3 linked regions of the Arabidopsis thaliana genome follow. The protein of the gene in region 3 interacts with the protein of the main gene of each other region in a pairwise test. Each region holds a gene or a part of one and is shown on either strand. Other genes may lie near its edges.

The links.
Region 1: the proteins of AT5G09820 (region 3) and SPS2 interact in a two-hybrid assay, tested with the Arabidopsis thaliana proteins (one study listed by BioGRID).
Region 2: the proteins of AT5G09820 (region 3) and SPS1 interact in a two-hybrid assay, tested with the Arabidopsis thaliana proteins (one study listed by BioGRID).

What each region holds. Positions count from the first base shown.
Region 1 is NC_003070.9:5,824,084-5,834,412, reverse strand, and holds SPS2 (solanesyl diphosphate synthase 2), read right to left. Parts: upstream 5,499-10,329; 5' UTR 5,125-5,498; coding exon 4,905-5,124; intron 4,567-4,904; coding exon 4,442-4,566; intron 4,363-4,441; coding exon 4,235-4,362; intron 4,140-4,234; coding exon 4,036-4,139; intron 3,955-4,035; coding exon 3,827-3,954; intron 3,747-3,826; coding exon 3,198-3,746; 3' UTR 3,030-3,197; downstream 1-3,029. Other genes in the region: CYP72C1 (cytochrome p450 72c1), read left to right, coding at 1-118, 902-1,146, 1,229-1,424; AT1G17065 (uncharacterized protein), read right to left, coding at 383-393, 555-597, 1,025-1,128, 1,343-1,376, 1,410-1,606, 1,685-1,752, 1,806-2,110; SHA (SH2 domain protein A), read right to left, coding at 6,357-6,375, 6,484-6,561, 6,634-6,971, 7,068-7,230, 7,300-7,568, 7,663-7,842, 7,952-8,116, 8,205-8,357 and 4 more; AT1G17030 (uncharacterized protein), read right to left, coding at 9,989-10,123, 10,218-10,329. UniProt on the Arabidopsis thaliana protein: Involved in providing solanesyl diphosphate for plastoquinone-9 (PQ-9) formation in plastids. Catalyzes the elongation of the prenyl side chain of PQ-9 in plastids. Contributes to the biosynthesis of plastochromanol-8 (PC-8) in plastids.
Region 2 is NC_003070.9:29,531,356-29,541,573, reverse strand, and holds SPS1 (solanesyl diphosphate synthase 1), read left to right. Parts: upstream 1-4,091; 5' UTR 4,092-4,410; coding exon 4,411-4,597; coding exon of another isoform or gene 4,598-4,601; intron 4,602-4,751; coding exon 4,752-4,876; intron 4,877-4,969; coding exon 4,970-5,097; intron 5,098-5,201; coding exon 5,202-5,305; intron 5,306-5,389; coding exon 5,390-5,517; intron 5,518-5,615; coding exon 5,616-6,164; 3' UTR 6,165-6,396; coding exon of another isoform or gene 6,397-6,513; 3' UTR 6,514-6,514; downstream 6,515-10,218. Other genes in the region: SHB (SH2 domain protein B), read left to right, coding at 1-51, 141-218, 277-379; AT1G78530 (Protein kinase superfamily protein), read left to right, coding at 893-1,028, 1,111-1,458, 1,540-1,782, 1,871-2,004, 2,094-2,300; AT1G78520 (Carbohydrate-binding X8 domain superfamily protein), read left to right, coding at 2,918-2,972, 3,073-3,101, 3,185-3,422, 3,573-3,598; AT1G78500 (Terpenoid cyclases family protein), read right to left, coding at 6,397-6,513, 6,588-7,074, 7,164-7,210, 7,282-7,338, 7,414-7,512, 7,614-7,868, 7,956-8,069, 8,149-8,340 and 6 more. UniProt on the Arabidopsis thaliana protein: Involved in providing solanesyl diphosphate for plastoquinone-9 (PQ-9) formation in plastids. Catalyzes the elongation of the prenyl side chain of PQ-9 in plastids. Contributes to the biosynthesis of plastochromanol-8 (PC-8) in plastids.
Region 3 is NC_003076.8:3,049,566-3,059,130, forward strand, and holds AT5G09820 (Plastid-lipid associated protein PAP / fibrillin family protein), read right to left. Parts: upstream 8,014-9,565; 5' UTR 7,816-8,013; coding exon 7,530-7,815; intron 7,401-7,529; coding exon 7,162-7,400; intron 7,085-7,161; coding exon 6,986-7,084; coding exon of another isoform or gene 6,899-6,985; coding exon 6,854-6,898; intron 6,765-6,853; coding exon 6,691-6,764; coding exon of another isoform or gene 6,654-6,690; exon of another isoform or gene 6,604-6,653; coding exon 6,525-6,603; 3' UTR 6,053-6,524; downstream 1-6,052. Other genes in the region: ACT7 (actin 7), read left to right, coding at 3,244-3,303, 3,398-3,791, 3,878-4,491, 4,590-4,655; AT5G09830 (BolA-like family protein), read right to left, coding at 8,251-8,449, 8,538-8,560, 9,145-9,204; AT5G09840 (Putative endonuclease or glycosyl hydrolase), read left to right, coding at 9,462-9,565.

The sequences.
Region 1 (10,329 bases), on a different chromosome or scaffold from region 3:
ACCAAAGATCGGGTCACATAATCATGTTTTCCTAAGTGGTCTTCTCAATCACGAAGGTCCTAAATGGTCCAAGCATCGAAGCATTCTTAATCCTGCTTTTCGTATTGATAATTTGAAGGTATGTTTTTCTTTTACCAAAAAAGAAGAAGAGAATATATAGAATGCTCATTTTGACTCTAATAATTATATTTTGTTTTTTTTATAATTGATTTTTAACTCTGACATAATGTGAACTTTGTGGACGTCATTTTCGTCTCATTCTTTAGATTTTGGTCAGTTTCATTCTCTCTTTACTTTTTTTCGAAAAAAGTCAGATAAAGTAACGTCTTTCCTCTTGTTTCTTAGCTCAGAGATTTAAACAATAATTATATTAAAAAAAAAATCATGTATTAACTATTTAAAAAAAATAAAAAAATCAAGATATAACAGAAAAGAAAAAAAAAATCTCTTAAACAAAAAAATATTAAATATCCCGGAAAGAACATAAAGAAATACCTAAAAAAGGTATTTATAGAAAAAGAAGAAACGGAGAAAAAAAAAAGTCAGCAAAGAACTAAAGAATCCACGCCACGCCACCAAGTCACCCAACTTAAAAGTCTAAAAGCAAAAAAAACAGAAAAAGCCAAAAAGGCACATTACAAGAAGGTGAAAATGAAATCATCATATTTCAACTCAAGAATTTCTAAAATACCAAATTTATTTCGACAAAAAGAATTTATCATTTCATTATCAGTGTAGAAACCTCACATATGCAGAGCACTCATCATCTTTAACAAAAACATTATGAGCAAATAAGTAGCAATAAATAATATACAAAATGTAAGCTTCTTTAAAGACCCATTTCTGTGATTTTTTTTGGTGTGAAATTTGGTAGTGATTTTGAAATGGTATAAATGAACAGAGCATACTACCAGCATTTAACTCGAGTTGCAAAGAAATGTTAGAAGAATGGGAGAGATTAGCCTCAGCAAAAGGAACAATGGAACTTGATTCATGGACTCACTGTCATGACTTAACCAGAAACATGCTTGCTCGTGCTTCTTTTGGTGATTCCTACAAAGATGGTATCAAGATCTTCGAAATCCAACAAGAACAGATTGATCTTGGTCTCCTTGCTATTCGAGCCGTCTACATTCCTGGCTCAAAGTAAAGAAATTGTCTAAAATCAACTGCGTTTAATTAAAAAAGTCGGAAGCTAGTTTTGCTGATTCAGTTTTTCTATGTGCAGGTTTTTGCCAACAAAGTTCAACAGGAGGTTGAGAGAAACCGAAAGGGACATGAGGGCTATGTTTAAAGCGATGATTGAGACAAAAGAGGAGGAGATAAAAAGAGGAAGAGGTACCGACAAAAACAGCGACTGTTGTTCTCGATGTTGGCTTCGAATACAAAAACCATCAAAGAACAAGGACCAGATTCAGGGCTGAGTCTTGATGATCTGATAGATGACTGCAAGGCTTTCTATCTAGCTGGTCAAAATGTGACTTCTTCATTGTTTGTTTGGACACTTGTTGCTCTAAGCCAACATCAAGATTGGCAAAACAAAGCAAGAGACGAGATTTCTCAGGCCTTCGGTAACAACGAACCCGATTTCGAAGGGCTAAGCCACCTGAAAGTCGTAAGTATACATTTTCAAAAGTGACTAAACCACATTATAACTAAAAAAAGGGTTGTTTTTTTTAACAACTTCTTTGGTTATTATCATTAGGTAACAATGATCCTCCATGAAGTTCTACGACTCTATTCACCAGCTTACTTCACATGTCGGATAACTAAACAAGAAGTGAAGCTAGAGAGATTCTCTTTACCTGAAGGAGTTGTAGTAACAATACCAATGCTCTTGGTGCACCATGATTCTGATCTTTGGGGAGACGATGTGAAAGAGTTTAAGCCCGAGAGATTCGCCAATGGCGTGGCGGGTGCAACCAAAGGAAGACTCTCCTTCTTGCCATTTAGCTCGGGCCCTCGGACTTGTATCGGTCAGAACTTTTCGATGTTGCAAGCTAAACTCTTCTTGGCAATGGTACTTCAAAGGTTCAGTGTTGAACTCTCTCCATCGTATACTCATGCTCCTTTCCCAGCTGCAACTACATTTCCACAACATGGAGCTCATTTGATCATCCGAAAACTGTAGGAGGTAGAAGAATGAGGAAAAAAATGTAAAGGTGCTTCCTTTTTTTTTGTTCATCAACAAAACAGAACCTTGAAGGTGTGTAGTGGTAAATGCAGTTTGAATCCGGTCAAGAAATCTTATTTGGGTGTTTTTGTATATATGAAACAAATTAAAATCTAGAAATTTCATAAGATTTTTTTATTTTCATAGCATATTTTTCACCACCACCTGATTTAGTTTATGTGTTTAACATAATGAGTTTCATTTGTATATTTTAATTCCACTTTAGTCATCACACACATAAGAGAGGCTTTTCTTATTTGTTTGCCTAATTTCAACTTCACTACAAAAAAATCTTGTGCCATGTTAAAAGAAAATGCCACGTGAAATAGTAATCTTATATATGTTGAATCTCGACAAAATGATTAAGAAAACATGCTTTTAGCTCATTTACTAATTTAGTCTAATACATGAGGCAATGAATCAAAGAAGATAAACAATAATTATAACAAAAAAAGAATCAAAGAAGATAGAAAAGAACAGATGGTTGAAGAGACGCATCAAGATCAGCTGTTTTTGCATTTATATTTCTAATTTGTTTGTTTTGTTTAGGTAATTCGGTCCAGACAAACATTCTCGAATTGAAACCACAAATTTATTAATTTATTCGGTTCCAGAAAATTTTATGTTTCATTTTGAGTTAGTTAAAGAATCTCAATCAAAACCAAACTTAAATCCAACTAAATAGCAAGCTTATAAATATTACCATTTTTTGTCCCAAAAATAAATAAATCAATATGACCATTTACAAAACTTCGATTTAATTTTTTTACTGTTTATGTGAAATTTGTTGTTTTCACTTTTCAATACCAAGATGTATAGAATTTTAACACAGATCAATTTATATTTGGGTCTAGTACCATTCACAAGTATCTAAAAAATTGAGTTACTTTTATTTTGCAATAATAAGCATGAATTTTTGTTTATTACTCCATTATGACATACAGTAAAAAAAAAAATCTGTGTTTGAAGTTTTGAACAAGTAAAGAGTGTTGTTACAGTTTCCTCTGCCAAATACCCTTTGAAACTAATCAATCCTTTCAAGATTAAACATTACCATATCCTCAAGAGCCGATCTGAAACCACTCCTAGGAAGACAATTCAAATTCTTTAACGCAAGTTCAGCTTTCTCCTTTGCTAATTCTTGAGCTTTCTTGATCCCACCGCGATTTCTAACTATTTCAATCGCTTCTTCAAGCGATCCAGGCTCACAAAACTCAGACTCAATGATCTCTCTTAGCCTTGGCTCATTCTCTAGCGCGAAGATCACTGGCGCCGTTATGTTACCTTTGGCTAGGTCATTAGCTGCAGGCTTACCTAACTGCTCTGTGGACTGAGTGAAGTCCAGAATGTCATCAACTACTTGAAAAGATAAACCGAGATTCTTCCCGAACTGATACATTTGCTCTGCGACCTTGCTTTCGACTTTACTGAAAATTGCTGCTCCTTTGGTGCTTGCAGCTACTAATGAAGCTGTCTTGTAGTAACTCTTTAGCATGTAGTCATCAAGCTTGACATCACAATCGAATAAACTCGATGCTTGCTTTATCTCACCGCTTGCAAAATCTTTGATCACCTGCAAAAAGATAAATCAAGATTCAGACCAAATGTTCTTTGTATTGAGTAGCTTCATCTAATCTCAGAAAGGAATATTACCTGACTTATGAGCTTAATGACTTCAAGGTTTTCGAGATTTGCTAAGTACCATGATGCTTGAGCAAACATGAAATCCCCAGCTAATACAGCTACTCTTGTTCCGAATAGCTCGTGAACCGTTTCCCTTCCTAACAAACACAGAGAGAAAGCTTAAACACTTTGCAGAGAAAATGCATACTCCGATCAAAAGAATGGAACTTTTGTCTTACCTCTTCGCATATCACTTTCGTCTAACACATCATCGTGTATCAAACTTGCGGTGTGAATCATCTCAATGATCTCACCTAAACGCCGATGTTCTACTGTAAGTTCCCTGCACCAAGATCAGCTATAAACCATCATTTTTATTTCTAAAGATTATGAGCAGTTTCGCGGTCAAAGATGTAATGACAGTTATATATAGATTACTTTAAGCCTGCTAATTCCGCAGTGGCTCGTGATACAAGGAATACCAAACCCGGTCTCATCCTCTTGCCACCAGCGCTGAAGATTTGCTCAGCAGCAGATATCAAAACCGGATTTTCTGCACCAACAATCTATAAAAGAAGAGAATTTACATAAGAAACATAACCCTCTATCAAGAGACCAGAAAAGAAATGGTGGCGAGGTACTAACCGATAAAAGATTGTCGTTCAACCTCTGCAAATCATCAGCTACGACCTCAAACAGAGTTTCCAAAGATATTGGCTTTCGTGACTCTTGCCTCAGATTGAGCATCACTGTTTGATCTTGACCAATACCTACACAATCATCAATATTCAAAACCCTGAAGAAAAGTCTTAAATGTATAAGCTTTTGACTTCTCATAAATTATCTCAGCTTATAAGACTCTTTGCCTCAACCAAAACTAAAGATTTCTATTTCCATAGCAAACATTCAAAAAGCTCGAAACTTTAATTCATGAGACTCTCTGTCTCATGAGCTCAAAACTGAACTGTTATAAGACTAAAACTATGCACCAAAAAGGTGAAGACCAATCAAACATGATTCAATTACTTAACCAACCAAACCTCAAAATCAAAGAATCTCAATCAATCACACAACCAAAATCAGATAGTTCTGCTGAAAAATTGGTTACCGTTGACCAGAGAATTCTCCTTGGATTTAGCCGGAACAGCTCTGCAAGTAGCCAAATCTCGCCGGAGAAATACCAAATTTCCAACACAGCTTCTGCCACCAATCATACAAACGGTCTTCGAAGAATTGCCAAACAAGAATCGACGACTTGTTGAAGAAGAGCTACAAGAATGATCAAGAACACTCGTACCCAAGTCTATATTCCGACATGACATCATCATTTCTCAGACCAAAATCCACAAGTGACGACAACTTTTAGGCAAACCCAAACCAAAAAAAGACGGCTAATAATAAGTTTCAGAAACTGAGAGTCCAAAGAGAAGAATCTTCGGAAACTGAGAGTCCAATGTTAAGTTTTTTTCTTTTTGGCTGACGAGAGAGAGATTGGGTGTGTGTATGGCAAATTTTCAGAAAAATAAAAAATAAAAAAGACAAGAAATTTATAAGTTTGTGAATCGATCCCTTTTTTTTTTTGTGTTGATTTTCTTTGGGTGGACGAGACAAAACCACATCAGAAGTAAGAACTCGCTCTCAAAACTCGACCTTTGGCGGACGAGAGAGATTTCAGATTTGTGTGTGTGTGTGTGTGTCCGTTTTCTTTTTTAATTCAATATACAAATTAGAGAGAGAGGGAAAAAAAAGTCCATCGTTGTAATCAGAAGCTGAAATGTCACCACGTGTTTCCTACCGATTGGTCCGTCATCTAACTCGTATCAAATATTTTGAGATTAGAGAATATCCATTTTTCTGGTTTCAAGACAATTATAATATCATTAATCCAGATCTCACAAATTTTATACTAATAAGTTTTTTACCTACAATAATTAGGCTCTAGGGAGTATTTTAAAAACAAATCATCAAATTACGTGAAACCATGATTTTTTATATTGATAATTCATTTCTCCAACTCCATTGTGAATCAAAATAATACTGTTATGACTTAATTTACAATTTCTGTATATTATTCTCATTCCATGTATTACCAATCACAATAAGTCATCATATATGAGAAGATTAACAAAAATGGTTGAATAAATTTTCTAAGAGCTTTTAAATTTAATTAGTACATAACAAAACAAAAATATGAAAGAAAAACATTACCATAATTATTTTATTTATTTCTTGGTAAAAAAAACATTACCATAATTAACCTCTAATAAGGGATTAGGGACCAAGCAAATATGTAGTTGGAACATAAATGGGCCACACAAATATAAAAACTGAGCAGAAGAAGCAAAAATCGCAACTCCTTTCTTTCTTGTCGGTAATTGATTTTAGATAAACAAATATACTTAAGTCTTACAATAAAAATCCTTTCCACCTAATTTAAATCACTGAGCTTTACAAAAGTTAGTATCAGTTAATACTTAGACTTAGCAAATCTATCTGTACAATAAACCTCAATAACAGTCGATGCTTCTCTACTTTGTTGAGTTGAGTCTGTTGATTAGATTCAGATGCCTCTTATAATCCTGAAAAATGCAACAAAAACCAAAATAAATAAAATAAGCAATTTAAGATCTTCAATTTGATCTCTCTTTGCTTCAACAAAAACTAAATTTTTTCACTTCCTCACTCACCTTCCAAGCCGAGATAGCTCAGGTTCCGCCAAAAGCATATCTTGCAACTGTTTTGCATCTGTATACCTTTCACTAGAACTAAAAACAAAAACAATTGTCACAAGACAGACACTGAGGGGAAAAAAAAAGGAGATAAAGAGGTTTACTTACTCGCAGATGTGGTTGATTGTGAGTAATCTATGATGAATAACTAAATCATGGCCGACATAAGTCACAACCACGGAACCAGCGTCAGGATGTGGCCAGCTTCTTGAAGTAGGGAACCTGAGAATGAAAGTGCCCGGTACTTGATTCTGAAGCGAACGTTCTGCCTCTTCTTTAGTCACAAACCCTTCTATCCATTTAGGCGAAGCAGAGCGCCACATTCCATTAATCAACCCCCTTGATACAGCCGAAGCAACAGGGAACAACCAACACCACATTGTCTCAAAATTCTCTTGAGTTATGTATTCATAGCATCCACATATCCTTCTTAGAAGGTCAAAATCCTGATTACAATTTCATGTCAGAATCACAAATACAAAAGATCAAGACTTTGATCTTGGTGAAAGTTCAAGCAATATGAGAAGAGAAAGAGACAAGACCTGGTGAGTGAGAGATCTACTGCTGCATTTAGCTATTCTCATGAAATGTTCTTCAATCTCAATTACCACATTGTCCCAATGAACATGTCGATAGTTCCGAGAGATCAGATTCCACGCATTTGTTCCTTCTGCTATCAGTTTTCTTGCCATTTTGATTTGATAGCTGGAAAATTTGGAAGATTAGTGTTCTATTTTATTTGAGGCAGGTGTGAGTTTAATTTGATTTCTTTACCCGTGGTGGGAGCATCCGGAATAGAGAGAAACTTGATCTGCAAATTCCGAGACTTCTTCGTCTGATGAATTGTTTGTGATTTCCTTCAGAAGAAGAGCTCTCTCTGTTAAGTTTCCAAGGCAGTATTTGAAAATAATCCAGTCTGGGATTGAATATCTCCTGAAAGCAGTCGAGTCTCTCATTTCAGTGTTTTCGGAATCAGTTGAAGAGTTATCTTCTTCGTGGTTCTGAGGCCTCCATTCCATACTCGTACCATTTCCATTCACAATCTAACTCGAGAGCAACAACAATGCAGAATAACAGTAAGTGGGATATGGATACAAAGCAAAACAAAACGTAACTCAGAGAAATTGGATTATCCACCTTACTCTCAGAAACCTTTTCTTCTCCTAATCTGATCCGTTTCATAGAGGAAACAGAATCACGGTTTCTCGAAATGCAACGGATTTGGTTGGTGACAGTTTCGAGGAAAGGATAATTGGCCTTCACTTCTGGTATTTCGAATTTGATGCAGAACAACCTCTTATCACTCTTGGAAGAAAGCTACAAAACAAAAGAAAACAAGGATCCTTCAATGCCTTTTAGCATAGACAAAAAAATTCTAACAAGAATGTGAAATCCCATTCCGATGGCCTAGATTTATAATCACCACCTGAGATAATTTGAACTTGAAAGAAGCACATCCGTTCAATAAGTTGCACGGTTTATCTTCAGCAGATAATTCAATGCCTTCATAGCTTACTAAAAGGAATGCCTCAAAGTCACTCCTCTTCTCAACATGCGTCCCACTATCAGCATACAGTAGAGAAGCCACAACCTGCAACATCAAATCGATAACGCGCTATCAGAAATACTTCCTGAGCTAAACAAATGCAGAAATTTTTAGAAAGCATAAGAGTATGAACCTTCACATCCTTGTGCACAGGCTGTCCAATAGCATTGGTTAAAACAACATCCAAGGAACAAAATGTTCCACTAACGACACTCCAAACACCATCTTCATCCAATTCAATTCCAGATGTAGATGGCTTATCAACAGATAACCATAAAGGTGGGTCCTGGAAAAGAAATGAAGCGAAATAAAGAAACACAGGACAAGAGTCTTTTGTTGAAAAAGAAGAGAAGGCAAAGACAAGAAACTACCTTTGTGTAGTGATAACTTGCAGAGAGATTAGAAGGCAAAACTTCTGCACTGTGGATGAAACCCTGAACACTATAACCATCTCCACCAACACTAAATAACGATATCTTTCGTGCGCAATCTGAATTTGTACCATTGGTCATCAAGGAAGTTAAGACTTGCTCTCCTACAAGCTCTCCACAAATATAAAGGCGCATATAGTTTCTAGAAACCTAGGAGACAACAGAAATCAGTAAATCCGAAGAAAAGAGATATTGGTCAAATTAATAAGAGTCCTCAGAGATCTTATAATTACTACCTCACAACCCACATGAACCCATTTTTGAAGAGGAAACTTAGCCGTTGTAGAAACATTAGGAACTTCAGTCCAAGAAGAAGTGTTAACAGGATCAGGAGCTTCCCTGTGAAGGAGAGTCAATGGCAAAAGCATCATCTTCTTGTTTTCATCTAGAACAAGGAAAGGTGCACTAACACTCATGTCAGAGTGAACCTGAGAAGAAAGCCACTATTTAATCAGAAGCTGGTTGTTACAGTTTAAAACTCATAAATCAACAATGGTTATACTAAAAAAAAAAAAATCAAAGAAGCGACACAAAGTTTGAACCTTTTCCCCCAATTCGCAAAACAAGTTAATCTCACAAGACATGGATATATGAAAACGATTATAACACAGAAGGCAACAGATGGACATTTCTGAGAACTCACCTGTCTGATAATTGCAGAAGGGTATGTGGTGGAATCTAAGAGATAAACCCAAAAACAAAGTGAGAAAGTCTCAAATGCTTTGTTTTCGACTTCAACATCGACATTAAAATCCTCCAGCAGAGAGTATTTCTCGGTGTCAATCGCACAATCACCCGCCATTATAACACACCCAGATAAAAAGCTCTCGACTTTGCAAGCGAAACCCTTAAAACCCAGAAAATGAAAATACACACAGATGAAGAAAAAAAAAGTAAAACCTTTTTCGTTTGTCTCGCTTTTTTCTCGTTACCTAAACAAACACAATCGAGAGCTTAAAGGAAACTGAAAAGAAACGCTGAGGAATTTTTCGTCACGTCTTTTGACGGCTGTTAATTAACGGTTCGTACCGTCGTCTTCCGGTGGTTTCAGTCTATACTCTATAGGGACGATCAGCAAACAATCTACTGCCTCGCGACCACGAAACTAAACTAAATTAGCCAATCATAATTATTTGATCTATTGACTGGTCTTGACTACCATTTTTTTTTTCTTTGGATAAAATCTGCAGTTAGCTGGTTAACAAATTCGTTTTGATTTCGATTTTACAGAAAATGAAAAATGTTTATAATTTTATTTTAATTTGATGAAACTATGGTTTATATTATTTAGTCTAGATTTGGTTTCATATTAATTAAGAAAATTTATAACATTAAAATAAAACGAATTTATTCGGTTACCTAAAACTCGATTTTGTTTTGGATTTATATTATCAAAACCCGTCGGTTTATAGAAGAATTTCAATTGTGTTTTAGGCTTTCGAGATGGTTTGGTTTAGCAGCTTATAACAGAATCTTATTATTCCACTTAAATATCGGCATTTGGTATAACAATGTCGAAATCAGTTACAGTCCATTCAGCAATTTGATTCTTACTCATATATATTTCAGTTCCTAAATCTATCGACGACCAATGTCTCTCCACCGGTTTCGTCCCTGGATCCTGCATTTTTTAACATGTTCGAAATTTTAATACTCTTTTCGTGATAATGTAAATGCAGATATATATATATATAAAGGAGGAGTACAAAAAATACCTGGTAAAAGAAGAGTGACTGAGAGAGTTTTCCGACATCAAGTTCCCAAGTTCTTGGATCTCCAATCCAACCTTGTCCTTTCTTTGTCGGATACCCAAACTGTTCCCACACT
Region 2 (10,218 bases), on a different chromosome or scaffold from region 3:
TCATGATTTCGCTCTTCATCATAAGCAACTCAAGATCGATAACATCTGCGAGTAGACTTCTCTCTATTTTATCCTCATCCCTAAACAAAATCGTCTTGTTTCATGAAATGTCTGATTCAAATAACATTTATTATCTGCAGAAGTAGTGAAAGGTACATGGATGCAAAACCGCTGCAGGATATGTTGTTGGCTGAACCTGAGCTCTCTCGGTTAGGAAGGTGAGAATGGTTCTTTGTTGTGTTAGACCAAAATATAAAACCGAATTTCGAGACTGAGAAACGTTGTTTTACTTTGGATTTTTGTTTGTGCAGGATCAAAAGAAGCCACTGAATGTTATGCATTTTCCAATATACAGACACTAAATCTCTCTTACAGTTAGTAAATTTTGTATAAGCTAAGAGGGCTTAGCTAAATCAGTCTCAAATTAATGTAAAAATCACAATTTGCAAGGATTTTTTGAATAATTGTTCATCTTCTTTTAGATGTTGAGGCTCAAAAGTTGTAAAATCTTGCAATATTACTGATCTTCTTATACATGTTGAGTATAAAGTCAACGACAAAAACTAGGTAGTAGCTGGTAAGATACCCACTTCACGAGTTCTTTTATTACAATTTTTTCATAAAGTGTTACTTCTCCATTTAATAATTTCAACAAAAAGCGGATGAATTTTTATGTATAAACTCATTTTTCATTTCATACGTAATAATAATATATGAACTGTTTTCTTATGTGGCCTGTCCAATTGTTGGTGAGGATGAAAAAAAGTTGTAAACCTACTTTCTTTTTCTATCTATCTCCGTTTTCACGTAACCAACTTCTTTGTCTTCTCTTCTTTTTCAAATCAAGATAATGAAATAAGGAAACAAAAGTTTACAAGTTTTCAGAAAAACAATGGCTAATGCAAAGGAAACAACGTTTTATATAACAATCTCTGTGGTTGCTTTTGTCATTGGCAAAATCGTAATCGCTCTTCTTTTCTACAAGAGATGGAAGAGAAAGCACACAATTCATGAAAATGGATTTCCAGGTATTAAACTAGCTTTATCTATGCTACTATGTGAAATAATCATTTCTCTAATGTTTTAATTTTGTGTTTTACAATTTTGCAGTCAAAGGAGGAGGAAAAATGGTGATGTTTAGATCTCAATTACTTAACTCTGTTTCCTCCGACATGTTTATGAAGAAGACACATAAACTAAGCAACAAAGACATTCTTGGTTCTGGAGGATTTGGAACTGTGTACAGATTAGTCATTGATGATTCAACTACTTTTGCTGTGAAGAGGCTAAACAGAGGAACTTCTGAGAGAGACAGAGGGTTTCATAGAGAGTTAGAAGCAATGGCTGATATAAAACACAGAAACATTGTAACTCTTCATGGCTACTTTACTTCTCCACATTACAATCTTCTCATCTATGAGCTCATGCCTAATGGGAGCTTGGATTCTTTTCTACACGGTACACATAAAACAGAGCATTAAGCACAAAACGTGTATTTGAGTGGTTTCTTTAGCCACAAGTTTTTTTTGTTATTTGCAGGAAGAAAAGCTTTGGATTGGGCGTCGAGATATAGAATCGCAGTAGGAGCGGCTAGAGGGATTTCGTACCTTCACCATGATTGCATTCCTCACATTATCCATAGAGACATCAAATCTAGCAACATACTTCTTGATCACAACATGGAAGCTAGGGTTTCTGATTTCGGTTTAGCCACTTTGATGGAGCCAGACAAGACTCATGTTTCGACTTTTGTGGCTGGAACATTCGGATATTTAGCTCCTGGTTGGTACACAACTGATAGATTCAAATATATAAACCAAAATTTGGATTGCATTTCGATTTTGTTCATGTTTGTTTTTGTTATAAACAGAGTATTTCGATACTGGAAAAGCGACAATGAAAGGAGATGTTTACAGTTTCGGAGTTGTTCTGTTGGAGCTTTTAACTGGAAGAAAACCAACAGATGACGAGTTTTTCGAAGAAGGAACAAAGCTTGTTACTTGGGTATAAAGTTATCTATCTATTTTCCTTGTATAAGTTATTAATCTTGTTTGGTTTCAAGCGACGTCGTTGTGGTGTGTAATTGTATACAGGTTAAAGGAGTGGTAAGAGACCAAAGAGAAGAGGTGGTGATAGATAACCGATTAAGAGGATCATCGGTTCAAGAGAATGAAGAGATGAACGATGTGTTTGGTATAGCGATGATGTGTCTTGAACCCGAACCAGCAATTAGACCAGCCATGACTGAGGTTGTCAAATTGCTCGAATACATCAAACTTTCCACACGTTCCTCTTTTTGATGTTTCTCTTGTCAAGAAAAATAATCAAATTCAGTTCCAAAATAAAGTTTTGCTGAAGAAAAAGATTTCGAGATCTGCTTCTTTGAAAAGCTAAATTGTAATTTAATACTCCATATTAGTATAGTAAAGATTATTTATAATTGATTTGTTTTAGTATGGAATAAAGGATTATTACACACAAAAAAGCCTTATATCAACTATTCTTTTTTAAGATTCTCGTACAAAGTGGGCATTGGATCTTTAATTTTTCCCTAATTTACAGCTCAGCTCACGTTTTGATGTCTTGTTATTTGATCCCAAATGTTCTCACTACTACATTAAACCTTTTGAAGCAATTAGCAACCTTTTTTTTTTGTTACTTAGCAAAACCAAACCAAACATTACGTTTATATAACGACACTTTTGCTAAAACGGTTACTTTTCCTAGAAGCAATTTGCTGGATTATTCACCTCAAAATCCTAAAAACATTAATTAGCATTAGATATCTAAAAAAAGTGAAATACAAATCTTTGTTTCTTTTTAAATTGTTTTATTTTATAAAATTGATTCACTTGCTCATCATTTATATACACCAAAGAGTGTAGAAGAGTTCTCTCACTCAAACAAAAATCAAACAATGGCTAAAGCATGGATCTGCCTTTCCTTCCTCATCTTCCTCTACCTTGTCTCAGGTATATAAATTACCAGTTTACCACTAATCAGCCATCCTAGTTTAATTAATTTAATAATCCTAATTAACAGTATCATCCTCATGTTCTTTCCTTTTAACAGAACGAAACTTCATCAACGTCAACGCAGAGGTATTTGCTTAGACCAACTATCAAATTGCTATCTGATTTTTTTTTCTTACTCAATGAGTTTTTGTTCTAAGTTGTTGTTATAGACCAAGACTTGGTGTGTGGCTAAACCTTCTTCCGATCAAGTAGCACTTCAAGATAACATAAACTTCGCATGTTCTCATGTTGATTGTCGTGTTCTTTTGAGTGGATGTCCATGTTACTCCCCTAGTAACCTCATCAACCATGCATCTATCGCCATGAATCTTTATTACCAAGCCAATGGAAGAAACTATTGGAACTGCAATTTCAAGAACTCCGGACTCATTACCATAACTAATCCGAGTGAGTTTGCTCTTTCTCTTTAATTATGCTATCGAAAAACACTTCTCTATCTATATATAGAGAGAAGTGGTTTTAAAGGTAATTTCATTTTTACCTTTAAGTATCTGGTTAATTATATTAAAGGTAATTTCATTTTTTCTATATGTGTAGGCTATGGAAACTGCTACTATGAATAAACATGAGCAAGAAAGGAAAAAAAAAAACCATATTTCTTACAAGCAAACAGAAGAGGAATGTGTTTTCTTGTTGTTGCAATGTTTATGAGTTATAATTTAAATTTCCAAAGTTCGCAGATTTTGATTAATCAAATTTGATAACATAAAAGCAAAAAAGAAAGTATCCAACACTTATCAAAATTTGATCACAATTATTCCATCTCATTTTCAGTAATGACCCTTATTACGTACTGACCGTAAACATAGAACTTACCGTAATTAAGCTTTTAAAATTGAATTCTTCACCACATGAACATTTGGAAATATGTAGAACAACGTAACGTTTTCTTTTCTTTTTTCTTTGGTGTCAGAAACTAACGCATTTCTAAAGATTTTTTTTTTTTATAAAGGTAACGTATTTCGATATACTCGAATGTTAGTATGTTAAACCATTGGATAAATGACACGTGGTGAAATCTTAGCCTCAAGATTAGATAAGCGTAGACTAATCAATCGTTTCCCTCTTCTCCTTGGTATTGAACAAAAACACAGTCGTCACTTTCGTGCCTCCCGAATGATCTCATGTGGGCTTGTCTCGTCCACCCAACAAACTATAGAAAAAAAACTCGATCGGCTGATACTTAATCACCCACTTGATTTTGTATTTTTGTACCTTTTTTTGTTGTAATTTTTCCATACACCCAATTTCCCGTGGAAGAAAAGGAGTCAGCTTTTTCGTTTGCTTTAAAGCTTGAATCTTTACATAGTTCCAGTTACTTTCTATAGAGCTTCATAATCCCTAGTTGCCCAAAAGGATTCTGGGTTTTGTGAGAATGATGACGTCATGTCGGAATATAGATTTAGGTACGATGATGATGGCATGTGGTTGTGGCCGTCGTCAGTTTCCTTCATTAGCGAAGACTGTTTGTAAGTTTACTAGCAGCAATAGAAGCTATGGCGGTCTGGTGGGGAGTTGCAAAGCGGTGCCAACGAAATCAAAGGAGATCTCTTTGCTCAATGGTATGTATGATTCTCACTTAAAGTCTTAAACTTTTTGTTTTATGTGATTAGATATTTGATTTAGTTTTTAAGTGTTCGTGAACCTTGTTCTACAATAGTTACAGATTTTTAAGAATCACTGGAGTTTATGCTTATTGCCTCATGAGAATTGTAGGTATTGGTCAATCTCAAACAGTGAGTTTTGATTTGAAACAAGAGTCAAAACAGCCTATTTCGTTGGTGACTCTGTTTGAGCTAGTAGCTGTTGATCTGCAGACTTTGAATGACAATCTTTTATCGGTTAGTGTTTCTTATAAACTCTTTCTGGCACTGTCTTTGTCTATCCTGTGTTTGAAGTTTCACTAGGGGATCTAACAAAGTGGTTCTTTATAGATTGTTGGTGCGGAAAATCCGGTTTTGATATCTGCGGCTGAGCAGATTTTCGGAGCTGGTGGTAAAAGAATGAGACCGGGTTTGGTATTCCTTGTATCACATGCCACGGCGGAATTAGCAGGCCTAAAGTGAGTAGTCTAAAGACTTTACTTTATTTTGTTGGTATTCCTTTCATTCAGTTGGGTATCCATCTTTTATCACAAAATGATCATATTCAGATGTCTTGATGCAGGGAACTAACAACAGAACACCGGCGTTTGGCTGAGATCATCGAGATGATACACACTGCAAGCTTGATACACGACGATGTGTTAGACGAGAGTGACATGCGAAGAGGTGAGTTTTGTTAATAGTTATGAGATTCATCTATTTTTGTCATAAAATTGTTTGGTTTGGTTTAAACTCTGTGTATAATTGCAGGAAAGGAAACAGTTCATGAGCTTTTCGGCACAAGAGTAGCGGTGCTAGCTGGAGATTTCATGTTTGCTCAAGCGTCATGGTACTTAGCAAATCTCGAGAATCTTGAAGTTATTAAGCTCATCAGTCAGGTACTTAGTTACTCTTACATTGTTTTTCTATGAGGTTGAGCTATGAATCTCATTTCGTTGAATAATGCTGTGCCTCAAACTTTTTTTCATGTTTTCAGGTGATCAAAGACTTTGCAAGCGGAGAGATAAAGCAGGCGTCCAGCTTATTTGACTGCGACACCAAGCTCGACGAGTACTTACTCAAAAGTTTCTACAAGACAGCCTCTTTAGTGGCTGCGAGCACCAAAGGAGCTGCCATTTTCAGCAGAGTTGAGCCTGATGTGACAGAACAAATGTACGAGTTTGGGAAGAATCTCGGTCTCTCTTTCCAGATAGTTGATGATATTTTGGATTTCACTCAGTCGACAGAGCAGCTCGGGAAGCCAGCAGGGAGTGATTTGGCTAAAGGTAACTTAACAGCACCTGTGATTTTCGCTCTGGAGAGGGAGCCAAGGCTAAGAGAGATCATTGAGTCAGAGTTTTGTGAGGCGGGTTCTCTGGAAGAAGCGATTGAAGCGGTGACAAAAGGTGGGGGGATTAAGAGAGCACAAGAATTGGCTAGGGAGAAAGCTGATGACGCTATAAAGAATCTACAGTGTCTACCTCGAAGTGGCTTCAGGTCGGCTCTAGAAGATATGGTGTTGTATAACCTCGAAAGAATTGATTAGCTTTCCAAAAGAAGTTGGAAACACTGAGACATGCTTATAGACTTATAGTACAGTAAAACACACACAAAAGAGGAATGATTGTAACTCCTATTTCAAAAGTAATAACACATGATTTCGATTTTTGGAAAGATCTTTTGACTGATAATCAGCAATTAGCAGAAAATGACAAGTGTTGAAGTCATTACTACAGTAGCAAGAGTGTTTCATAGAATAAGCTTTGGATGCGAAGTCTTCAACAGAGGGGCACGCGCAGCGCCTTTGTGTAGTATGTGAGTGCCCAAAGAGTGAAAATGTTTCTATAGGTTGCATAATGGACCATCACGTTCATCTTGAACACTCCCATTATTTCCTGCATTTTGTGGTATATAGAGTTATCTTGTATCAGATTGAAGCGCAAGTTGGAGAAAGAAAAATGACAATTACCTCTTGCGGAAAATCGCCATTATCCAACTGAGAATTGATCAACACTTTAGCTGCGCGATGAACAGGCAAAGGGTCTCTCTCCATCTGACCACCCATAATAAGAACCATCAATGCTTGTCCAGTATTCACCACATTGGTTCTGTTTCCCTCTAGAAGTGTATATTTCTTGTTGGGGCAAGAGAGATAACTCTCACCCCAACCGCCTTCAACGTTTTGTGTCTCCAGAATGAACTGAACCGCTTTACGAATCGGCTCACAGTTCTGGTACGTCTTGCCTGCAGCCACTAGACCCCTTACCGCGAAAAAGGTTCCATACATGAAACACACACCCCAGTTTCCGTACCACGAACCATCGGGCATTTGAAAGCTTTCTATGTATTTGACAGCATTCTTGATAAACTTTTCAACCTCTTCCCTTCTGTGCTCCGGAAACTCCTTCAAGAACCGAGCCAATGCCACTATCGCTGACCCCGTACATTCTACATACCTAAACAAAGCTCCATATATTCCATAGTATAAATCATTCATTTTTCAAAAGAAAAGAAAACAAAAAAATTGATGTGGTAAAGATAGTACTCATGCTCGACGATTGTGTCTTCCATAAACTCCACTGGACTAAGCCACTGAAATTTATTTTGAGCCATTAGTATTACACTAAAAAACACAAACTAGTAAGACAAATTAAAATAACTACCTCTAACCATGTTCTTCCACGAGCTGCCTCCCACACTGTTATACCTCCATTTTTGCTCTGTTAAAATTTTGTAACAAATTAATATCACTAATCACTAGCCGTTGTGGAGTTTTGGTTATAAAATTATAATACCTGAAAATAGAGAAGTAAATTAACGGCATCATAGAGCCTCTCTACATCCATTTTCTCGCCAATCAACTCCGATGGCATGCTTCCAAAGACAAGGCAACACTGGCCAGCCAAGTGTAAACCGCGTTTAATCCTCAAATGTTAGTTGATTGATGGTAAAAGGGTACTTTAATTAAAAAACTAATAACCATTGGAGTCAGAACCTCTAAACTCTCAGCAGTACAATCCGAAACAGGCCATCCTTGGTCTTGGTCCGAAAATGTCCATCCTCCTTTCGCAATGTCTTTCAACATTTTTCTATGGTCACCAGGAGGATTTTGTGTAAGCTGAGATTTATTCAAGAAACTGTATCCTTTGATTAACGTTGATCTAATCTCATCATCATCGTCATCAACATCTTGATAAGCTAACATGACTTGAAGTGAGAATGCTGTATCCCACAGTTGGCTACCAAAAGACTGCACCAAATGACATTCTCTAATTTAAAAACTCAACATTTTCAAAACAGAGTAAAAAATATATATACTCTTTAGTTTATGACTAACTTGGATTTTCAGACCATCCTCCCCAATCCATATGTAATCCGGGACTCGAGCAAGATGTTTCTTAAAATAATCACCGTCGGGGTCTTCTACCCAACAAGCAAGCATATGAAACGGCTATATATCAAAAATCAAAGAACAGTGTTATAGTACTAGTTATGATTTGTACTAATACGGTATATTGAGGAAATTTTACCTTAGGCACACATCCACCGGTAAAGTAACGGCTGGCTTCATCTTGATAATGAAGAAGTTCCATTGTGGTTCGAAGAGCTTTTTGCCTGATAAGCTTGTTGCAAGGCCATCGATTCAGGATATTCTCTGACAATATATGAACACATTTCCAAAACATTTCTTGTAAAAATGACTGTGGATAGTAGAGATCTTCCTGCATCATGTCATTTATTATTATTATTATGTGATACTTCATTGGTCTCATGTACTTTTCAACTTTTTACCTTTGCGCACTGATTGCGAGCTTGACTCCATAAGATTTTGTCATAAGGTTGAGGATAAAGCTCTTCCCGAAGCTGTAAAATGAGAGGTGTTGGTGTAGCTACAAATTTCTTACCATACAAGTATGACACTCCCATAAAAATGTCCCGGAAATAAATCCATAGAGTACCTGTTAACAAACATGTTGATTAGAGACATGCTTGGACCGATCATATATATACTCCAGTAAGCAAATATAACAAAACCATAACAATTTATAGAATAGAATGTGGAAGTGGAACCTCCGTTGAAGGGCGAAAAAGTAGGGAGCATCCACACCTCAGGCGGTATTGGTTTGCAACCTGACCAATCATACACTCCAAGAATCTGATTGGCACAAAACAATCCATGATACAACTGAAAAAAAAAACTCCTCGAAAATAATAAGACTATTTTTTTTTCAATAAAATAAGTATTCCGCCATGCATAATACCGATAACCAAGCTTTTCCGATCAAGGGCGTATAAGTAGCACCACCGTGATCGAGGATCCACTTACGAGCCCTTGCACAACCACTTCCTTTAATATCATCAAGATCTGCTTCTACTCCCAGAATCCGTAGGCAAATGTAGTTGATGACTGTGCAGAACATAGCGCTTTGGCCTTCCACGTGTATTCCCCACCCACCATCTTCGTTCTATAAACCAAAATAATTATCCTCGTAGTTAACGTCAGAAAACTATCATAGTAAAGATCAGAGAGGGGCTTATCACTAAAAAGAAGCTATATGTGATCAAATGTGTTACATAATAAGTTCACCTGATGGTTGTACATGTAACGCAATAGTTCTTTGCGATGTTCCAAAGTCAAGATTTTCTCCAAATGTCCAGTGATGTACAAGCATATGACCTAAAAGTACCATATCATTACACTTTACATATATATTTAATGAATAGAAAACAAAAGAATAGTATAGTATTAGTAGAGAGAGTGAAGAATAGCTCACAAAGGGAGCTTCGAAGAACAAGCAACCAGAGTTTTCAGCAGGCCAATGTCCATCCTCAGCTTGCAATGCCTTGAAATAGAGTATCCCTCTTCTCAGTGCCGTCTTTGCGTCTTTGTACGTTATATTTTCCGCATCTCCTATCTCCACTCTCGGAATCTTCTGCTCGAACTTCTTCTCCCTCAGGAACTATTAAAATCCATCCAAACACACAAACTTATATTCAACCAAATGCAAGTTTTACTGCTGCAACTAACTAACATGGTAGTGTCTCCCAAGAGATCAAGTCCCGAACTTTCTCATTATCATCATGCATGTTAAAATTAAAGCTTACCTGCATTCGCCAAAGGAGATCAGCACTGATCTTGAAACGTGATCGGTTTATGGAGAAATTCTGACGAGCTTCATCGACCTCAGCGAGTTCCTCTGGAGAGCATGCATCGGCATCAAACTCCCAAGTCTGCCTTCCGGTGTAGTTGTTGGTGGTGAATAAGTGAGTCTCATCTCCGCCCTTAGCCCCGATCTTCAGCCTCCACATTTTGTATCAAACCTTTTAGAAAGTCAACAAGAACATGCATGTAAAACATTGGAGCACGTATAAATAATGCCATCATATTGTGTAAGGTTTCTGAACGCAAGCTCACACTGAGAAAGATGACACCTAGCATCCCTCTTCTAATATGTGTCTTTCCTCTCAAACTTCTATTAAATTTTATTATATATTAAAAAAATATCTTGAAACTATCAAGGAGATACATTTTTGCTTCTATCATTCTTTTTTTGAAAGAGATAACATTAAATCTTATATAATAAATAAAATAAAATTCA
Region 3 (9,565 bases):
TGATATGCGGGCATGTGATGTGTCTAATGCGTACGTGTGCACTCGTGTCCACGTGCACATACACGTGCGGTGTACCCCGCGTTGATAGGGTCTCGATTATTTCCAATCACGTATATCAATTGTTTTTGTTTTTGTTCTTTTTGATAAAAAAAATTTTTGTTACTTCACAATTCACATATGTATCCAAATGCAAGCGACAAACATATTCGCACGAAAGAGTCGAATGTTTTGGTTAGTGATAGAACATTATATATTGATCTTGATCGTATGATTTCATTTATATTTAGGGACTGAATTATATATTATATTGTAACATTTAACATACAGTATATCATGTGTTGCTAGTTATGATTTACATGCACTTCGAAAATGGTATCTGATTTTTTATATGATTTAGAACTTATCTGGCACACATCATTGAATAGGATCTAACACATTAAAACACTGTCTAACTTATTTGTTTGTATGTGTGTGTTAAATCATCATTTTAGCTAAGATTTTTAACCATAGGCAAAGAAATGACTCAAATGAGCAAACGAGAAACTGCAGACAGCAACATATATCAAACTAACTCTAATAGGCCCAATATAGCCCAATAAGAAGTGTGACCGATGGAGGGAAGAATCGAATTTAAATGATACAGAGTTTTTTTGTTTGGAGAGGAATAGACTGATATGATAGTCCGTGAAAATATTTTCATCTTGTTTTCAATGTGGAGATATTTTAAAGTTTGAAACCAATCCAAGTTCTAAAACATCAAAAGCTTTTATTCTCTGTTTAAACCACTTGGTTGGTCTTGGTCTTCTTGAAATATACAAACCAGACCCAAACGATAATCAGTGAAGATGACTGCATCATTGGGTCTTTAAGTTTCCTATTGGGCCAAATCAGCCCAACTATATTATTGTTATTATTTCAGTCCATTAAAGATTTTCGGCCCGTTTTATCGTTGGGAATTCATCTATATTTCCCCAATTTGATGATACACAGAACAATTTCATGTGTATACGATAAGAGGCAAATTCAAAATTTGCAATCAATGTAAAGTGGAAATGAGAAGCATGGTGGCTCAAATCAACTTATCTTTCCTTGGAATACAAACTACAAATGATGACGGATTTGGCTTCCCTTTGAATTTACCTTTTACCTCTCTCTTTTTTTTTTTTTATAGGTAATGTTGTTATTGGACAAAAATGTTAAGAAAATAAAGGTGAATGATAAATTAGAAGAGTACCCATAACTATTTTGATTATTTAAGTTGCCAACCAAGCTAGACCACTTTCCAACTTTTATAGACAAAGTGTAAGAACTTAGCACATGCTTTCCAACAAGGAATATGAAACTTTATTTCAAAAAGATTATTGTTAAAGCTTTTAATCATTCTAAAAGGTGATTAATATTTGAATTATTGGAAGTAACTTGTTTTGGACATATACCAAATTAATCAATAGTATCAATGGACATATAACATGTTGTGAGACTATATCAATGTTATATTCCAAGCCAGTTAAACCAATTTATAATGATACCATTTATAGATAAACAATACACTTTACACACATTATTTTCTTAGAATTGGGTCTCATATAGAACACTCACAAAGGTGACTTATAAAAAATGCTTCAAAGATCCTAGTCTTTTAGTGTGCATTCCTCAAAATCGTAGTTGATATGTATCTTGCTCCTATTCGGGTTTTGGTCTAGAATTTTGGTTTCAGGAATTTTCAATTAACTCATTAAAACATTTATAACATAAAAAGATATATCACGAAAACCGATCAATCATTTAATATATTTTTATTTTATTTTATTTTTTGTCACAATAAAATCTAGACAATAGTGTTTAAACATTTATCAAAAAATTCACCTTACGATTAATTTGTTTTATATTTTGTGATGATGCAATTTAATCTATATAAATTATAAAACATATCGATAATCTGTGTTTTTCTTTTTCTACATATAAAATTCATAAAAATGAGAGTTTTGAAGCTCTTAAAATGGACTAGTCAACAATTGGCCAATCTTTGTTCTAAATTGCTAATAAACGACCATTTCCGTCAATTCTCCTTGGTTGCAACAGTCTACCCGTCAAATGTTTACTAATTTATAAGTGTGAAGTTTGAATTATGAAAGACGAAATCGTATTAAAAATTCACAAGAATAAACAACTCCATAGATTTTCAAAAAAACAGTCACGAGAAAAAAACCACAGTCCGTTTGTCTGCTCTTCTAGTTTTTATTATTTTTCTATTAATAGTTTTTTGTTATTTCGAGAATAAAATTTGAACGATGTCCGAACCACAAAAGCCGAGCCGATAAATCCTAAGCCGAGCCTAACTTTAGCCGTAACCATCAGTCACGGCTCCCGGGCTAATTCATTTGAACCGAATCATAATCAACGGTTTAGATCAAACTCAAAACAATCTAACGGCAACATAGACGCGTCGGTGAGCTAAAAAGAGTGTGAAAGCCAGGTCACCATAGCATTGTCTCTCCCAGATTTTTTATTTGGGAAATAATAGAAGAAATAGAAAAAAATAAAAGAGTGAGAAAAATCGTAGAGCTATATATTCGCACATGTACTCGTTTCGCTTTCCTTAGTGTTAGCTGCTGCCGCTGTTGTTTCTCCTCCATTTCTCTATCTTTCTCTCTCGCTGCTTCTCGAATCTTCTGTATCATCTTCTTCTTCTTCAAGGTGAGTCTCTAGATCCGTTCGCTTGATTTTGCTGCTCGTTAGTCGTTATTGTTGATTCTCTATGCCGATTTCGCTAGATCTGTTTAGCATGCGTTGTGGTTTTATGAGAAAATCTTTGTTTTGGGGGTTGCTTGTTATGTGATTCGATCCGTGCTTGTTGGATCGATCTGAGCTAATTCTTAAGGTTTATGTGTTAGATCTATGGAGTTTGAGGATTCTTCTCGCTTCTGTCGATCTCTCGCTGTTATTTTTGTTTTTTTCAGTGAAGTGAAGTTGTTTAGTTCGAAATGACTTCGTGTATGCTCGATTGATCTGGTTTTAATCTTCGATCTGTTAGGTGTTGATGTTTACAAGTGAATTCTAGTGTTTTCTCTTTGAGATCTGTGAAGTTTGAACCTAGTTTTCTCAATAATCAACATATGAAGCGATGTTTGAGTTTCAATAAACGCTGCTAATCTTCGAAACTAAGTTGTGATCTGATTCGTGTTTACTTCATGAGCTTATCCAATTCATTTCGGTTTCATTTTACTTTTTTTTTAGTGAAAAATGGCCGATGGTGAGGATATTCAGCCACTTGTCTGTGACAATGGAACTGGAATGGTGAAGGTGAGTTAGACTGTTTATTTAGATACTGTATGGTTCTAACCTTCTTTGTTGTACATGTGTAAGACTACTGATCATGATTTTTGTATATTAACAGGCTGGTTTTGCTGGTGATGATGCCCCGAGAGCAGTGTTCCCAAGTATTGTTGGTCGTCCTAGGCACACTGGTGTCATGGTTGGTATGGGTCAGAAAGATGCTTACGTTGGTGATGAAGCTCAGTCCAAGAGAGGTATCCTCACTCTGAAGTATCCAATCGAACATGGTATTGTAAGTAACTGGGATGACATGGAAAAGATATGGCATCACACTTTCTACAACGAGCTTCGTGTTGCCCCTGAGGAGCACCCAGTTCTACTCACAGAGGCACCTCTTAACCCTAAAGCTAACAGGGAGAAGATGACTCAGATCATGTTTGAGACATTCAATGTCCCTGCCATGTATGTTGCCATTCAGGCCGTTCTTTCTCTCTATGCCAGTGGTCGTACAACCGGTTAGTTCTTAACTCTAAACATCCAAGTCTGAGTTATATTATCTTCTTACTTGTATTTACTTAAAGTCGTTCTCTTTTTGTAACAGGTATTGTGCTCGATTCTGGTGATGGTGTGTCTCACACTGTGCCAATCTACGAGGGGTATGCTCTTCCTCATGCTATCCTTCGTCTTGATCTTGCGGGTCGGGATCTCACAGACTCACTCATGAAGATTCTCACTGAGAGAGGTTACATGTTCACCACTACCGCAGAACGGGAAATTGTCCGTGACATAAAGGAGAAACTTGCTTATGTCGCTCTTGACTACGAGCAAGAGCTAGAGACAGCCAAGAGCAGTTCTTCAGTGGAGAAGAACTACGAGCTACCTGATGGACAAGTCATAACCATCGGAGCTGAGAGATTCCGTTGTCCTGAGGTTCTGTTCCAGCCATCGCTCATCGGAATGGAAGCTCCTGGAATCCATGAAACAACTTACAACTCCATCATGAAATGTGATGTCGATATCAGGAAGGATCTCTATGGAAACATCGTTCTCAGTGGTGGTTCCACCATGTTCCCAGGAATTGCTGACCGTATGAGCAAAGAGATCACCGCTCTTGCACCTAGCAGCATGAAGATCAAGGTGGTTGCACCGCCAGAGAGAAAATACAGTGTCTGGATCGGAGGATCAATCCTTGCATCCCTCAGCACCTTCCAACAGGTAAAAATCCCAATTCCGCCTCTTTAAAACTTTCAGCTCCATTTATGAAACATGAGTGAAAATACTGAAATTTTGTTTTGTTTGTGTGTGTGAATCAGATGTGGATTTCAAAGAGTGAGTACGATGAGTCAGGTCCATCGATTGTTCACAGGAAATGCTTCTAAGTGTGTCTTGTCTTATCTGGTTCGTGGTGGTGAGTTTGTTACAAAAAAATCTATTTTCCCTAGTTGAGATGGGAATTGAACTATCTGTTGTTATGTGGATTTTATTTTCTTTTTTCTCTTTAGAACCTTATGGTTGTGTCAAGAAGTCTTGTGTACTTTAGTTTTATATCTCTGTTTTATCTCTTCTATTTTCTTTAGGATGCTTGTGATGATGCTGTTTTTTTTTGTCCCTAAGCAAAAAAATATCATATTATATTTGGTCCTTGGTTCATTTTTTTGGTTTTTTTTTGTCTTCACATATAAATATTGTTTGAATGTCTTCAATCTTTTATTTGTATGAGACAATTATTTAAGTATCGGGTGACAATGCAGCTATTATGTATTGTCGATTGTTATATTGGCGCCCAAAATATATACTTAGCCTAAGAATTTGGTAAGTGAGTGGCTTATGTTTTACTCCAGCAAAAATTGTGTGTGTATTACCATTCTGATGCGAAACAAGAAAAGAATTTGATCTAAGAAACCAAGTTTATTCACTAGTTAAAAAACAAATGACCTAATGTAATCGACTCCACATATCAAAATACGTAAAACAAACATTGTATGTTGACAAAAGGGAAAAGAAATGATTTATTTGGTTAAAAAGAAAGCTGGATTCAATTGCAACAGTTTAGTCGAAATCATTTTGAAAGCTTACAATGGATTGAATGTGAATATTCCATTAAGCCGCTTCTGTCTACACAGAATGTTACGCTTGGAGAGCAGCAATCATTTTCACGTTTTTATCTTTTTAGGTGGACATGTATATTATTGGTTACGCCTTTGGAGTTTTTCGAAATTTATTTCTTTCAAATCACAAGATGACTAAACATCACAATCTGTTTATCTTCCTAACTAGTTAAATTTTTGTCCCCACCATTGGAAAGATTTGAAATGGTCGGTCCAGCCAAATCACTCAAATACTTTATGAAAACTTTGACAAATGATCCATTGGCCAACTCATATACACACACAAAATGTGTAGTTGCCGCACATACTCACCGACTTCATCTGTCTAATTCCTTTACTTTATTGTATTCATTTTTCAATTGTCTATTGAACCTTCCAAAGAATCTACTGTCTTCTTTATCGGTGAGCTTTCGGTCCAAACAACTAGTGTATGATGAATTGATAATTGATTAAAGTGTTAGTAGATGATTTAATATCCAAGTAGATGGTAACTAATTTACTATATCAAAAGTTAATGTGGTAAACAGAATTTCTCTTTTTTCGTCTGAGGGCCGTTTTTAGGCCCATACCAATATCAAGTAATATGTGAAAGCTATTGTATAAATCCCAGACCATAGTCTTATGATCAGAGCAACGGTACTTTTTTTTGTTGGGACAAAAGAGCAAAGTTACTTAAAAAAATGAGAACGACAACGTGAAATTTTTGCATCCCAAAATGAGTAGAGTAGACCATTAGGACTACCAGCCCATTTTCTAGTCCCAATTCTCAAATTAAAGGCCCATTTAAGCCCAAATATCTAGTGAGAAAACATTTCTCACCATCTTCTTTAGTTCTTTTGTTGTAATATCAACACTAGGACTTAGAAGTAAACAGATGGGAGCAAGCTAATAGTACTTATACAGTATTATTGAGGAATCAATTATGTCAATAATGAATGAACTGGAGTTACTAACATTCCCAAGACAAAAAAAAGACTAAATCTAGATTTTTCTTCTTCTTTTAAACCAAAAGAAAGAAGAAATACTGATGGTCATAACCCAAACCAAAGAAAAAATTGAAAATTTTCTTGAGAAACAAGCAATTTCTTCTTATGGAAATGAGTTTGAAAAAAATGCAGTAAACATTTTGGTATAAAAGATTTAAGGTTTCTCTATTCTTTCCAAAACAAAAACATTCCCTTTCCCATCTCTCCCTACTTGTAAATCTTCGTCTAAGTATCTGCAATAATTTCTCAGAATCAAGGAATCCAATCCATAACAAACACAATTCTAGTTACGATTTTGGATTTTAATTAAAAAAGGATACGAAATCTCGAATAGTCCCTCGGGGTTGAAGATTCCCAAAAGAAGATCCATGTTCTTCCTAAATATGTTCATCAACTGATTCCAACACGAAACAATTTTTTTATTACCAAAAAAGGAATTTGATTATATATGTCGGAGAAAGAAAAAAAAACAACAACACAGACCTGGTCTGGTTTGATCGTTGAGCTTTCATAAGTAATCTCTACACTCTACAAACAAACAAACGCAATTCCGTCAAAACGCGATTTTTCCAAGAATCTAAAAAACCTAAAAACGTCAAGAAAACGGTAATGTACCGATTTGGACGAGATCTTGAAGGAAGCGACGATTCTAAACTCGCCGTCGAGTAGATTCAATCCCCGGACATCGAATTTCAACACATGGACCGTTTTGCCCTTCGTTAATTGAAAAAGAAACACATTAAAAACGTCATCACTAAAAAGCTGAACTGATCAATTTCTTTTTTATCTACCTGAGCAATGTCAATCTGTTGAAGAAGATCACCAAGAGAGACGAAATCTCGAAGACCCAATTTAGTTCGTTTAGAACCCAATACAGTGATTGTACTGTAAATGAGTTTCCAGCAACCTCCGATCTTGTCTAACTCTCCAGTCGGCTCCGGTGTCGGATTCCGACATTCCAAAAGCTTCACCAGTCCCTCGATCTCTGTCTTTTTATCCGACTTAACTCCGAATATCCCTCTATTGATCCCTTTAATCCCAATACAATCAGATAACAGAATCAAAGCATTTAAAATCAAAATTTGAACTACGAGCTAATGAGTTTCGAATTAAAGATTCTGATAGTCGAAAGGAATCTGAAAGGAGCGAATCTAATCACCTTTGAGAGCTTCGTAGAGCTCTTCTTTTATATGAGAAACTGTAATCTCTTCTTGTTCTTGTTCTTGTTCTTCATCTTGTTGTTGTTCATTTGGGGAGGAACAAGAACTCTGTTCTGTGACTTTCCCGATGAACATGGGTCTGAGCCTAAATGAGTTGTCACTAAAACTCAGCGTTTTGCCATTAGAACTGGTGAAAGAGACTAATACTTTCACGTTTCCTGTTCTTCTCGAGATTGCTCCTCGTGAAGCTGCCATTGATGGTGGCTGGAAAAGGTTACTCGTCATTAGCAGTTTATACACCAGAATCTCTAAACCCAATGGAGCTTAATAAGAAGTAGAAGAAGAAGATGGGATTTGAGGAAAAAGAGAGAGAGATAGATTTATGGGGAGGAGAATGGACAGTTTTTTTTGGTTATTTTATCCATCTTTTAGCATCTATCTCTCCCCCCCACCATACACTGCACTGACTCTATTATAAAATTTAGCCAATCCCATTGGTCTTTTTTTTCTTTTTTAAGATGGTGTCATGGTAAAATTCTCAAAAAAATCTCCATCTAAATTGAGAAAAACCCAATTTTTGTTATATTTTGCAACCAATTGCATATGTTTTAAAAAAGTGTTTACACTTCATCAAAAGCAGTAATCGGAGTACAGTAACCACAAAGTATCAACATAGTAAATGCTCTGTTCTTTGTCACAAGGCTTTTAAAAAACAGAAATTCAGGCATCTTTGGTTAAGGTTGCAGAGTCTTGTGATGGTGGCTTCCATTGTTGTGGAGTCTGAGCTTTCTTAATAGAGAGAGCATGAATCTCTTTCATTTCTTCTTCTAGCGCAGCATTCACCATACGATGCCTCTCCAGCAATCTCTTCCCTTCGAATTGTTCAGAGACAACCTCCACTTCAAAACTCGAACCACAACTGCAATAAACAGTTTTGCTGATATTAAGAACAAGAAATTATGCCATAAGCCAGAGAATCAAATGTGTATTGACAATCCGGTACTTACCCTCCAGATATGTCAATGACTTCCTGGTACACACAAAAACAAACAATGTCACTAAAAAATTCTAAAAGCTAAAGATTGAAACAATTGGAACACATGAATCAAGTGAAAAGGGAAATAGATTGACATTGAAGTAACTTCAATCTTCACATGTTATAAAGCAAAGAAACTATACACATCCTTGGATCTGCTTTTTGAGTTCTAGTTCACAAAAAACCATGACACAAATAAAATTTTCCGACAAGAACACTCACTACTAAGTTGCTAATACATCAGGAACACTACGTCATCAAATCCTGAGCTCAGTATCACACTGCATCAAATTACACCTAACTACGCAAACAACCACCTTTTATATTCTGTTTCAGAGCTGAAAGACAACACATAGTGATGTATAATCTAGATGCTGAGATTATTACAATACATAGTACCTCTTATGATCCAACTATCAAAGTGTATGATTTTGATCAAAGTGAGCAGGTCAAAAATCTCAAATTTGGCAATTTTCCCAGATCAATTTGATGATTAGGGTTTCAAAGTTTCCCACAAAAGTTTCAAACCCTAATCAATAGATGAAATTGAAAGAAGAAAGCAGTATAAGAACACTCACGAGATGAATTGGCTTAAGTTTCGAAGTCAATGAAGCTTCGACTTGCTCCTTCGTCACCATCTCTCTCTCTCTCTCTCAAACAAAAATTGAAATCCCTAATTACTGTACTCATTGAATTAGAATATTAAACCATACGCTATTTGGTTTTGGTTTAGCGAGAGTACGGTTTAGTTTGGTTCAATTGGGATACCATTCGGTTATCGACAATTCCAAAATAATAACTAGGGTTTAAGCTCTGCTTTCCTTTACTTCGTCTTCCTCACTCCTAAAACCCTCTCAGTCTCTCCATTTCCCGGAGCAAAAATAGCTCTCCGACCATGAAGTTTGGATCTTTACCATCCAAATCCCTTCTCTTCCGCCTCTCTTCTTCCTCCACAACCCAATCTCACCGTCGAACAATTACCCTTTTCATCACTAACAT